Callithrix jacchus: one gene and its partners. The protein of the gene in region 3 purifies or fractionates together with the protein of the main gene of each other region. This does not show direct contact. Links are inferred from orthologs where the notes say so. Each region holds a gene or a part of one and is shown on either strand. Other genes may lie near its edges. The genes, in order: VAPA, VAPB and PRKAR1A.

Region 1 (3,655 bases), on a different chromosome or scaffold from region 3:
TATGATAGTGTTCCCACACAATTATAATGGCACTGAAAAAATCCTATTACCTAGTGAGGTTACAGCACAATACATTATTCACGTTTGTGGTTATGCCGGTGTAAATATACATACTGTACTCCAGTTATAAATCGTACACATACGATTTTTGTACAATACAGAATATTTGGTAATAAACTACATTACAGGTTTATGTATTTGCTATGCTTTTTATTATGCATTTTAGAGTATATTTCTTCTACTTATGAAAACAAAAAGTTAACTCTAAGTTGGACTCTAATAGGTCCTTCAGGAAGTATTCTAGAAGGCACTGTTATAGGAGATGACAGCTCCATGCGCCTAACTGCCCCTGAAGACTTTCCAATGAGACAGGATGTAGAGGTGGAAGACAGTGATACTGATGAATCCGCCCCTGTGTACAGGCTAATATGTGTGCTTGTGTCTTGGTTTTAACATACAAAGTTTTTGAAAATAATCTCATTTTAAAAAAAGAAAGCTAGTAAGGACATAAAAAAGATATTTTAATCTATGTATACACTGTGCTTATGCTTTAAATTATAAGTCAAAATTTTAATTTTAGAGTTTATGAAGTAGTTACGGAAAGCTAAAATTAAAGAAAACAATTTTAATAAACACAACCTAAGTGTACTAGGTCTTCCCATTCACTCACCACTCATTCGCTGACCCACCCAGGACAACTTCCAGTTCTAGAAAATCCATTCATACTACGTGCCCTATACAGGCATGTAGGTTTTTATCTCTTCTGCCATCTTTTTGCTGCAACTTTTCTGTGTGTAGTCATGGGTGTCCAATCTTCTGGCTTCCCTGGGCCTCACTGGAAGAATTGTCTTGGGCCACACACAAAACACACTAGCACTAACAAGAGCTAATGAGCTATTTAAAAAAAAAAACTCAAAATATTTTTAAGAAAGTTTACAAATTTGTGTTGGGCTGGATTGAAAGCCATCCTGGGCCACATGCGGGCATCAGGCTGCAGGCTGAACAAGCTTGGTGTAGATTGTTTAGCTGGAAGAATACTTAGGATTGTAGTATAGCCACATGCTATACAAGTCTGTAGCCTAGGAGCAACAGGCTATATCATATATAGATTTGTGTAAGTACATTCAATGATGTTCACACAACTAAATCACCATACACATTTCTCAATATAGATCCTTAAGAGATGCATAACCATACTTGTGTATTCTTTCTTAACCATCAGAATTTCAGTTCTAATATTCCAAGTATTCCTACTGGCGGTTAAACAGAAAAAGAGGAAACTAGGAATTGGAAATATATGGAAAAGTTTGCAAAGAGGCCATGGGAAGAACAAAGGAGATAAAGGACATAAATGTGAGGCTACATTCTTAACAACAGGAGAGATGGATAAAAATGGACTAAAGAAGTTAAGAGGCTAAAGTCAAGAGTACTGTCATAAACTATCAGAGGCAGAATTAAGGTCTTAACGTATGAATTAAGAGACAGGATGTAAATAACAAGAACAAGGCCACCTGAAAATTTTTTTCCCCACTCTTAACAACTAATTTACCGTTTCTCTAGGATCATGATTCCCAAAAGTAAATAATTCCCAAATCACAAAAACAAAAAAGTATTAAACGTTTAGATAAAGGATAATTTTTTTAAAGCCTTCGTATGCATATCATCTGCAAAACCAAATCAAGGTATAAACAATCTGTTAAAACGGTGGGGCTGGCTGTGTGTGGTGGCTCATGCCTGTAATCCCACAATTTGAGGGACCGAGGCAGGTGGATCACCTAAGGTCAGGAATTTGAGACCAGCCTGACCAACATGGTGAAACCCCATCTCTACCAAAAAAAAAAAAGATTAGCCAGGCATGGTGGCAAATCCCTGTAATCCCAGCTACTCAAGAAGCTGAGGTGGGAGAATCGCTTGAACCAAGAAGACAAGAGGTTGCAGTGAGCCAAAACTGTGCCATGCACTCCGGCCTGGGTGACAGAGAAAGACTCCATCTCAAAAGAAAAAAAGAATATGCTCCCCAAATCTCAAAGAAAAAAATTACACCAACTTCATAATGTTTACATTTATATTGTCCTGCTCACTATTGAGATTTTAGTAAGTTCAGAAGTTTTTTAGAACAGAATAGTTTGTGTGCATGATTTTTAAGTGCTTTGTAGTTTCACTGTTAATTTCAGGCATAGTTCAATTCCCTCTACTTCATATAACACACTCACAATACCTCTTATCAGCTAGATATCTACATTAACTTAATCATTATTACTAGTAGACTCCTAAGTCTGTTAGCTCCCTATAACAAACCTTCTGTTTCTCCTGTTTGAACACACTGAGTCCCCTGGGGTCATCCTTCGTGTGATAACTGGCAGGTGTGGCAACTGTGTTGTTGTTGATGCTGCTCATTGAAGTGACAGTCGGAGCAGTCCCTGGTGGAGTTACACCCTGAGATGGCATGGGAAACATATTCTCAGATTCTCACCGAACTCTGATTTCTTCTGCATATTGGGAATGACTGACACAGAAAGCATTAGGTTCTAAAACATTAACACTTTACTCTTTAAAAATGCATTAATGCATAAGAAACAATACTAGCAAGTAATAGCTATGTTAAGGCAAAAAGTACAAAGTTTCTGAACTCGCTTTTTATATATTTCCCAAACAAAATCAGTTTTAATCTATTGCATTATGTAGACTTATTAAAGGTACATATTTTATTAAAATTTATGCCAGCTTTATGTTGTTTTAAAATGAATACCATCTAATCCTTTGTGACTCTTCATGTTTTTTTCTAATTAGTAATTGTCAATGATCTGAAAAATAAGCACTTTCATGTCTTCTTACCTTTGATAACACTCAATCTGAACATTTTTTAATAAACCTCTCTTGTATTTAAAGCCTATCCCCAATACAAACACTCTCTCACACACGTCCCAGGCCAACAAACACACTTAAAGATTCACACAACCACTAACTCCATAGTTCTCTTCTTTTCTTCTCAAATGCCTTTAATAGGTAAAAGTAATACTGTATTCTACAAACCGGTGGGAAAGAGATTTCCCTAATTATACTTACTCATATCCCATTTGTTCTGTCTCAACAGAAAATAAAGTATATTCAACCATAAAATGTCTTTATAGTAGTAAGACCCCTGAAATCCCTGTTCTTTACAGTTCCTTCAGTCTTCATTAAAAAAAAACTGGCATTTTTTTCCTAGAAAATATGTCACCATCAAATGTCATATGGAGGACATAAATGAAATGCAATACATTTAAGAAATTTAGAAAATGTCAGAGTTAAGAAATTTAGAAAATATCTCAAAATTTCTTTAGAATTGAACACAACTGAATAGATCATAAAACTTCAAAAATAACAAACCACATTCACTCCTTAAAAAACAACCACTACCACTAGTTGGACATTAGGTATTTAATAATACAGAGTTGTCAATTTCCAAACAGAGCTAATAAGTCAAAGAACCCTATTTTTTACAATAGTCAGTACTTTAGTATCATGTGCCTCCAGCTGTCAACAATACAGGGAACATGCTGAATGGCTTTCAGTACTAGCACTGACAACAACTCAAGTGAAGACAGTAGGGGCCATTAATGAAATGAAATGTACTGGCACACACCTGCTGTTCCCTAGGACTACAGTAACTACA
Region 2 (3,655 bases), about 71 Mb from region 3:
AGCGGATCTGCCATAATTTTTGTGGCAATTCCCTATTGTCAGATGTATAGATCATTCCCCACTTTTGGTTCTTGGTACCTGTGTTACACTAGCTGCCTCTTGCATAGTTTTGGGAAGGGTTGGAGGCACGGAGGGTGGGAATTGCCTTCTTTTTCTGTATCATAACCTTGCTGCTATGCTGGTCTATAATCCTAGAATACCCTGAAATTCCCATCCTCTGCTGCCAAGAGGAGAAGTAATCAGGAGCACATCCTCTTAGAACATGGAATTTAGCTAGGAAGATGCTCTCACTACAGCCTGGAGAGGTGGAGATGGGCCTTGGGGTAGATACAGCCCAGACACTGCCACAGTGTCAGAGGAGGAATTTGGTAATGATTGCGTTTTGTTGGAGGTTGGCAGAGTGGTTCTAAAACCACTCTCAGATAGTATGTGCTTACACTTTCTAAGAAGGATATGCATTTAAATTTTATTTATTATTTTTGAGACAGAGTCTCTCAATGTTGTCTGGTCTGGAGTACAGTGGTATGATCCTGGCTCACTGCAGCCTCTACCTCCTGGGCCCAAGCAATCCTCCCACCTCAGCCTCCTGAGTAGCTGGGACCACAGGCATGTGCCACCATGCTTAGCTAATGTTTTAATTTTTTTGTAGAGACGGCATCTCCGTACGTTGCCCAGACTGGTCTCAAACTGCTGGGCTCAATCAGTCCTCAGTCCTCCCACCTCAGCCTCTCAGAGTGCTGGGATTAGAGGCATAAGCCACCATGCCCAATCTAAAATAAGTTGTATTTTCATATGGAGAACTAAGGTTACCTGTGGTCAGCCAGACATTATTTAGAGGATTCCTTTCAGTTCAGTGGTTGGCCTCTCCCACAGAGTAGCAACATGGGGAGCGTTGGTTGACTTTGAGGAGTCAGGCAGCAAGTCTTCAGGGTTTGTGAAGTGTAATAAATATTCAAGAAGGCAAGTGTATTTACTCTTGTCATGTTACAAATATTGAAATCTCAGCAGACTTTAGTTCTTTATTTGATATACATTGGGGTTTTCTCATTAAGAGTATTTTTCTGAAATTGTCATAGGAAGAAAATTATTCTTCTAGCAGCTTTATAATATCTTGATTATTAAATTTAAATTGTTTTAGTGGAAGGAGGCAAAACCAGAAGACCTTATGGATTCAAAACTTAGATGTGTGTTTGAATTGCCAGCAGAGAATGATAAACCAGTAAGTATGTTTATAGTTAACAATAATTGAATGTTGCAAGCTGATACTTATTTGCATACCATCTCCTGCAAAAAACAAGATTTAAGTTGGCAAATTATTTTCCTTTCTCTGATGTCTGAAGAAAAAAATAAGCTGAAGTCAACAAATAAGTGGGCCTTTAGGAAATCAACCTTTGAAAAACTCGCAGAAAGACAACTGATTGACGCAGTGTTTCCCCTTGAAAAGTGCAGCCCAATGTCCATTGCGATGTCATAAATCCCAAAGAGCTTTTGTGGCCCGGCAAAGGTATAGGTTGCTGTTAAACAGTGGGTGAAGTCAAACAGGGAATAATTTGCCCTTTATTATGGTGCTTGATAGACAGGTGGGAAGCTCTCAGGTTCTCTTGTTCTACAGAGTGCCTTGTCAGCCTCCCTACCCCTTTTACCCTATCTATGTCTTCAGTCAAAGATTGTTTTTAGGTGAGGATCAATCTCAGCACTGTTGACAGTTGGGGTGGATAATTCTTGGTGTTGGAGGTTGCCCTGTGTACTGCAAGGTCTCTTAATAATAGCAGCATCCCTGGCTTCTGCCCTTTGGGTACCGGTAGTACTCCCAAGTTGTGACAGCTAAAAATGTCTCCAGATGTTACCACACGTGTCCTGGAGGTCAATATCAACCCCCCATTGAGAATGATCCCACTCCTGTGTTGCCTACCTGGGAGAAGGCAGGAGCCCCATCCTCTAGGCTGTCTGCTCATGGTCTCTTTCATGGTCCTCACTTGTGACCAGTTGAAGAAAGGAGACTGTAACTGAAATGCTCATTTGGGCTTCCCTTCAGCATAGTCAGAAACATTTTAATTGTCATAAAAACACCAAAACTGAAAACATGCAGCATATGAAACTACCCTAGAGGTTAATAGCTGGAGTTGGGAATAGCAGTGTCCCAAAACGTTCTGTTAACATCATCCATGTTGATCTGCAGGGATGTTGTTGATTTGTGTCAAACTACCTGGTATTTTCTTTCTGCTCAGTCACTTACCACTATCATTACCCTGTTTCTTTAAGTGGTCATTTTTCCCTCTTCCCAGTGTACAGCCTGTCACAGGAAGGTCAGTTTGGAAGTTGTGAAACCTGTATTCTGGCCTCAGCTCTGTGATAGGTTGACTCTGTAGCCTGGGACCTTGCCTTACAGGGCCCACTCTTCTCATCTGGAAAATGATGGGTAGAGCTAGATTCCTGGTTTTCAGTTTGCTACCCAGGTCAGTGATCCTTAGTTACTCTTTCCCTGACAAATTTCATGTTCCCATGCCCTCCCTCTACTGACTGGCTCTCATCCCAGTAAATCTCAAGAAGGGGCTCATAGCTCAGTCTTGGCAGGGGACATGAGGGGAGTATGTAGCTTCTCAAGATTGAAACACTGCAGACACTGAGCTTGTTTCATCTTCATCCCAGCTTCCAAATGCTAAGTTGGTAAAATAAATCGCCCTCGGCGTAAATGCTCTCCCAAGCCTCCTATCCCCACCAAGGCAATCTTAGGGATGTTCACATCTTTATGGTGACAGTAATTTGTGGCTAATAATTCCTGAGCTTGCACAATTACAGTATGCTAAGTTTTGCATGACAGGAATTTGATAGTGCAACATACACAGCCCCTTTTCTCTTTCTTTGAAGTATTAGTCTCAGCCGAACTTCATTATTTTCTCTTATCCATAATTTCTAGAGCCCAGTTGCTTTAGATTATTAAGATACTAGATAAAGTGATCCATTTGAAAAGTAAATGTGACATTTTACAATGTGGATAAAATGCTACTACATTTGGTGTTTGCTGAGAACTACTTTGCATAAAAAAGTCTCCTTTATTACATGGTTGGTGACACTTAGGCTTTCATTTATTTTTTAACAGCATGATGTAGAAATAAATAAAATTATATCCACAACTGCATCAAAGACAGAAACACCAACAGTGTCTAAGTCTCTGAGTTCTTCTTTGGATGACGCCGAAGTTAAGAAGGTTATGGAAGAATGTAAGAGGCTGCAAGGTGAAGTTCAGAGGCTACGGGAGGAGAACAAGCAGTTCAAGGTAATAGTTTATTTTCTGGTAAGCTACAGAGAACAAGGGCGTTTTCACTAGGATCTTGGATGAGGAAGTTGATGAACCAGTAAATATATAGATTTATTTTTGCTTTTGGCATTTGTCTATCTTTTTTCTCCCCGGGAAGAAATTTCCATAGCTTTCATCAGATTCTCAAAAGGGTCCTTGGATCTGCCTAAATTAAGAGCCACTGTCCCTTGATCAGCAGTTCTCAACTGTTTAAGCCCTTGTCCCCTTTAAAAAAAAAAAACAAAAATCTCACACTCTCCATTAGTGTAAATTGAAAATAAATGTTGAGACCAAAATAGCAGTTTTTATTTTGAATATGCATTTTTAAACCCCATGCCATCCCCATTCACTTGAGTG
Region 3 (3,655 bases):
AAAGCCTGCTGCAGAAATGTATGTAAGTAATGAGAAGCCAAATGTTAATCGCCAAGACAATGTGGAAAATGTCTTCAGGGCAAGTCAGACACCCTCAGGACAGCCCCTCCCATCACACGCCCAGAGGCCTAGAAGGGAAAAATGGTTTCCTGGGCCATGCTCAGGGACTCCTGTACCCTGCATCCCAGATGCTTCAGCTCCAGTCTTGGCTAAAATGGCCCAAGATATAGCTCTGGCCATTGTTTCAGAGGGTGCAAGCCCCAAGCCTTGGCAGCTTACACATGGTGCCAGGCCTGCGGGTGCACACAAGTCAAGAACTGAGGTTTCGGAACATCCACCTAGATTTCAGAGGATGTATGTATGGATGTCCAGGCAAAAGTCTGCTGCAGGGGCGTGGCCCTCATGAGAGAACCTCTGCTAGGGCAGTGCAGAAGGGAAATGTGGGGTTGGTGCCCCTACACAAGTCTCCACTGGGGCATTTCCTAATGAAGCTTGAGAAGAGGGCCACGATCCTTCAGATTCCAGAATGGTAGATCCACCAACAGCTTGCACCATACCCTTGGAAAAGCTGCAGACACTCAATGGCAGCCCAGAAGGGTGGCTGTACCCTGCAAAGCCACAGTGGTGGAGCTGCTCAAGGCATGGGAGACCACCTCTTGCATCAGTGTACCCTGGATGTGAGACAAAGAGTCAATGGAGTTCATTTTGGAACTTTAAGATTTAATTACTGCCTCGATGGATTTCAGATTTGCATGGGGTCTATAGCCCCTCTGTTTTAGCCAACTTCTCCCATTTGAAATGAGTGTATCTAATGCCCCCAGGAAGTATCTAACTTGCTTTTGATTTTATAGGCTCATAGGTGGAAAGGACTTGCCTTGTCTCAGATGAAACTCTGGACTTGAACTTTTGAGTTAATGCTGGAATGAATTAAGACTTTGAGGGACTGATGAAAAGGCATGATTGTGTTTTCAAATGTGAAGACATAAGATTTGGGAGGGGCCGTGGTAGAATGATATGGTTTGGACGTGTCCACACATAAATCTCATCTCGAATAGTAGTTCCCATTATCCCTATGTGTTGTGAAAGACCCCATGGAGGTAACTGAATCATGGTGGGGGGGTTACCCTCATGCTGTTCTCATGATAGTGAGTCCTCATGAGATCTGATGGCATTATAAGGGACTTTTCCCCATTTCACTCAGCACATCTCCTTGCTGTTGCCCTGTAAACAGGATGTTTTTGCTACCTCTTCTGCCAAGATTGTAAGCTTCCCAAGGCTCCCCAGCCACGCTGAATTGTGAGTCAATTACACCTCTTTCCTTTATAAATTACCCAGCCTCAGTATGTCTTTAGTAGCAGCATGGGATAGGACTAATAGACTAACATACAAATTAACACTTAATAAATAAAACAATAACCTGTTAAAAAGTTGAAAATCTAGTTACCTAAAGGTACAGGTATCTATATTCAACCCTGGCTAAAGGAATATACACATGTCAACAAAGACCCTTGAATTATAGTAAAAAGCATGTGGAACTGTAACTTTAATTATTAAAAGGTAAAAAAACCAACACACATTAAATCTAAAAATCCCATCTGCAAAGAAACCATTTTAATAATTATTTATTGCTTTCCTACCTTTGTAGTTTTTAACAGTACTGTGGCAACTACAAGCTTTGAAACTAGCACCACACATTCAACACTCCCTATAAAAAGATACACACTTAATGTCTCACCAACTTAATCCTCTCATTTGATGGTTTCTATTGATGTCCAAAGAAGAGGGATCACCTTACAGTGACCCATTTCAAAACCAGATCTCCAGGAACGCACTTGATTTCAAAACAAGGTACGACTATGGCTTAGCTCTACAATATTTCCATTATTTGGAAATTGCATATATAAAAGAAAGCCAGAGTATCTATTATAATTCCAAGACAGCAAAGCAACATTCACAGTGACTAGTTGTTCTTTTTTTTAATTATTCTGATCATGGTACTAAACACAAATTTTAACAATCAGTTTTTAAAGAAAATAGAATAACCTGATCATTGAGCTACCCAAATACTTTTTAAATCTTAGTACAGATTTTTTTACTAATAAACTATGCTGATAAGAAACTGTAAAAACCAATGGAAAACAATACAAATATTTCTATTATACAATTAGATAATCATATATCAAAGAAATGTCTCTGTTGATTCAAAATCATTTTGAACCACCTCAAAACTCCCACATCCACAAGAAAATCTGTAAGTTTATCCCACTGATTTACAGAAGCAAATCACATAAACTATTCAAAACATTTGGTGATCCAGACATTTTAATTCATCATTTCTTGAGGGAAATGAATTGAAGCACTGTCCTTGATGTAAAATTATCATTTTACTTAGAAAATTAGAAAAGCATACGCCACATATGTGAGTCACAACTGACCTACATGCAAGGAGAAAGAGCAGCAAAGAATAAAAACTGGATTAATTTTTTTCAAGGGGAAACAAGTCATGACCAATAATATGGAGTAAAATTTTTGAGGACCATTAATCTCACTATCTATATAGTAATTCATCAGAGATATATTCTATATTAAAATGGACTTAATATAATTGAAAATTTCTGATACATCAGTCACAAGCTAGATTCAAATGTTTCCTTATACTAGTTTTAAAAACAGGGTAAGATTTATTACCCTTACCTGCTTTGTTCAAAAAGGGAGAAGTATTAACTATTTTCAATTACTATAGAATTTCCTATTCATAGCACTGCTAGACTACTTCTGATTAGTTTTATACATTAATTTTAAAAGTTACAAAGAACTGTTTGGAAACCCTTCGTTACCCAACTACAGTTAGCATACAGGTTCATTTTCTGATAAATCTACTAATTAATAATTTTACAGTTATTAAATGTAACAGTGGTCACAATCATCTCATCATCTCCCCACATTTATTTTTACCTTCTCCAACCTCTCAAAGTATTCCCTGAGGAAAGCCATGGGTCTCTCGGGTCGAGCAGTGCACAACTGCACAATAGAATCTTTGAGCAGTGCTTGAATATTGTGCTTCTGGACGTAGAGCTCACATTCTCGAAGGCTGCGTGCCTCCTCGCTGGCGGCAGTACTGCCAGACTCCATGGTTCTCTGAGAGAAAACACACACATATGCTTGTATAAACTATAAAGCAAAATGCCAGTCTGGCATTTGACTTGCTACATTCATTAGGCATCTGATTCATAGGGATTTTTTTCTACATAGATTTTGTTTTTAAACAAGGAGGTGGGGACTAAGGAACAAAATATGTACAGAATTAGCATTATTCCAAGCAAATGTTTCATTTGGTTACTGCTGCAGGACCTGTGCTCTGTATACAGCAGTGAGAGTCAATAACCTCAGCTCCTGGGAGGAAGTATGAGCCACTATCCTCTGCAGAGGCGGGTGCTGAAGTCAGGCCCTTAAGGGAATTTCATTCAGTTCTCCCTTGCAAAAGAAATCATGATGATGTGGGAAGTATGTAAACAGAACAGAGAATTACAAGGGCACACAAGTCAACTCTAAGTGAAAGCAAGTAAACACAATGAAGAACATCGAACATTCTCCATATGTAACTTCTATCCAATGGGAGTGTCCTAATGTCACAGAGCAAACCACTGGAGTGAGA

The links.
Region 1: the proteins of PRKAR1A (region 3) and VAPA purify together in Homo sapiens (affinity purification with mass spectrometry; 3 studies listed by BioGRID and IntAct, with this or other methods). This does not show direct contact. The link is inferred for Callithrix jacchus from reciprocal best matches to the Homo sapiens genes PRKAR1A and VAPA.
Region 2: the proteins of PRKAR1A (region 3) and VAPB purify together in Homo sapiens (affinity purification with mass spectrometry; 3 studies listed by BioGRID and IntAct, counting the BioPlex papers as one, with this or other methods). This does not show direct contact. The link is inferred for Callithrix jacchus from reciprocal best matches to the Homo sapiens genes PRKAR1A and VAPB.

What each region holds. Positions count from the first base shown.
Region 1 is NC_133514.1:52,977,565-52,981,219, forward strand, and holds part of VAPA (vesicle-associated membrane protein-associated protein A), read right to left. Parts: intron 2,437-3,655; coding exon 2,299-2,436; intron 1-2,298. UniProt on the Homo sapiens protein: Endoplasmic reticulum (ER)-anchored protein that mediates the formation of contact sites between the ER and endosomes via interaction with FFAT motif-containing proteins such as STARD3 or WDR44.
Region 2 is NC_133506.1:54,024,853-54,028,507, forward strand, and holds part of VAPB (vesicle-associated membrane protein-associated protein B/C), read left to right. Parts: intron 1-1,138; coding exon 1,139-1,219; intron 1,220-3,100; coding exon 3,101-3,277; intron 3,278-3,655. UniProt on the Homo sapiens protein: Endoplasmic reticulum (ER)-anchored protein that mediates the formation of contact sites between the ER and endosomes via interaction with FFAT motif-containing proteins such as STARD3 or WDR44.
Region 3 is NC_133506.1:124,593,819-124,597,473, reverse strand, and holds part of PRKAR1A (cAMP-dependent protein kinase type I-alpha regulatory subunit), read right to left. Parts: intron 3,139-3,655; 5' UTR 3,133-3,138; coding exon 2,956-3,132; intron 1-2,955. UniProt on the Homo sapiens protein: Regulatory subunit of the cAMP-dependent protein kinases involved in cAMP signaling in cells.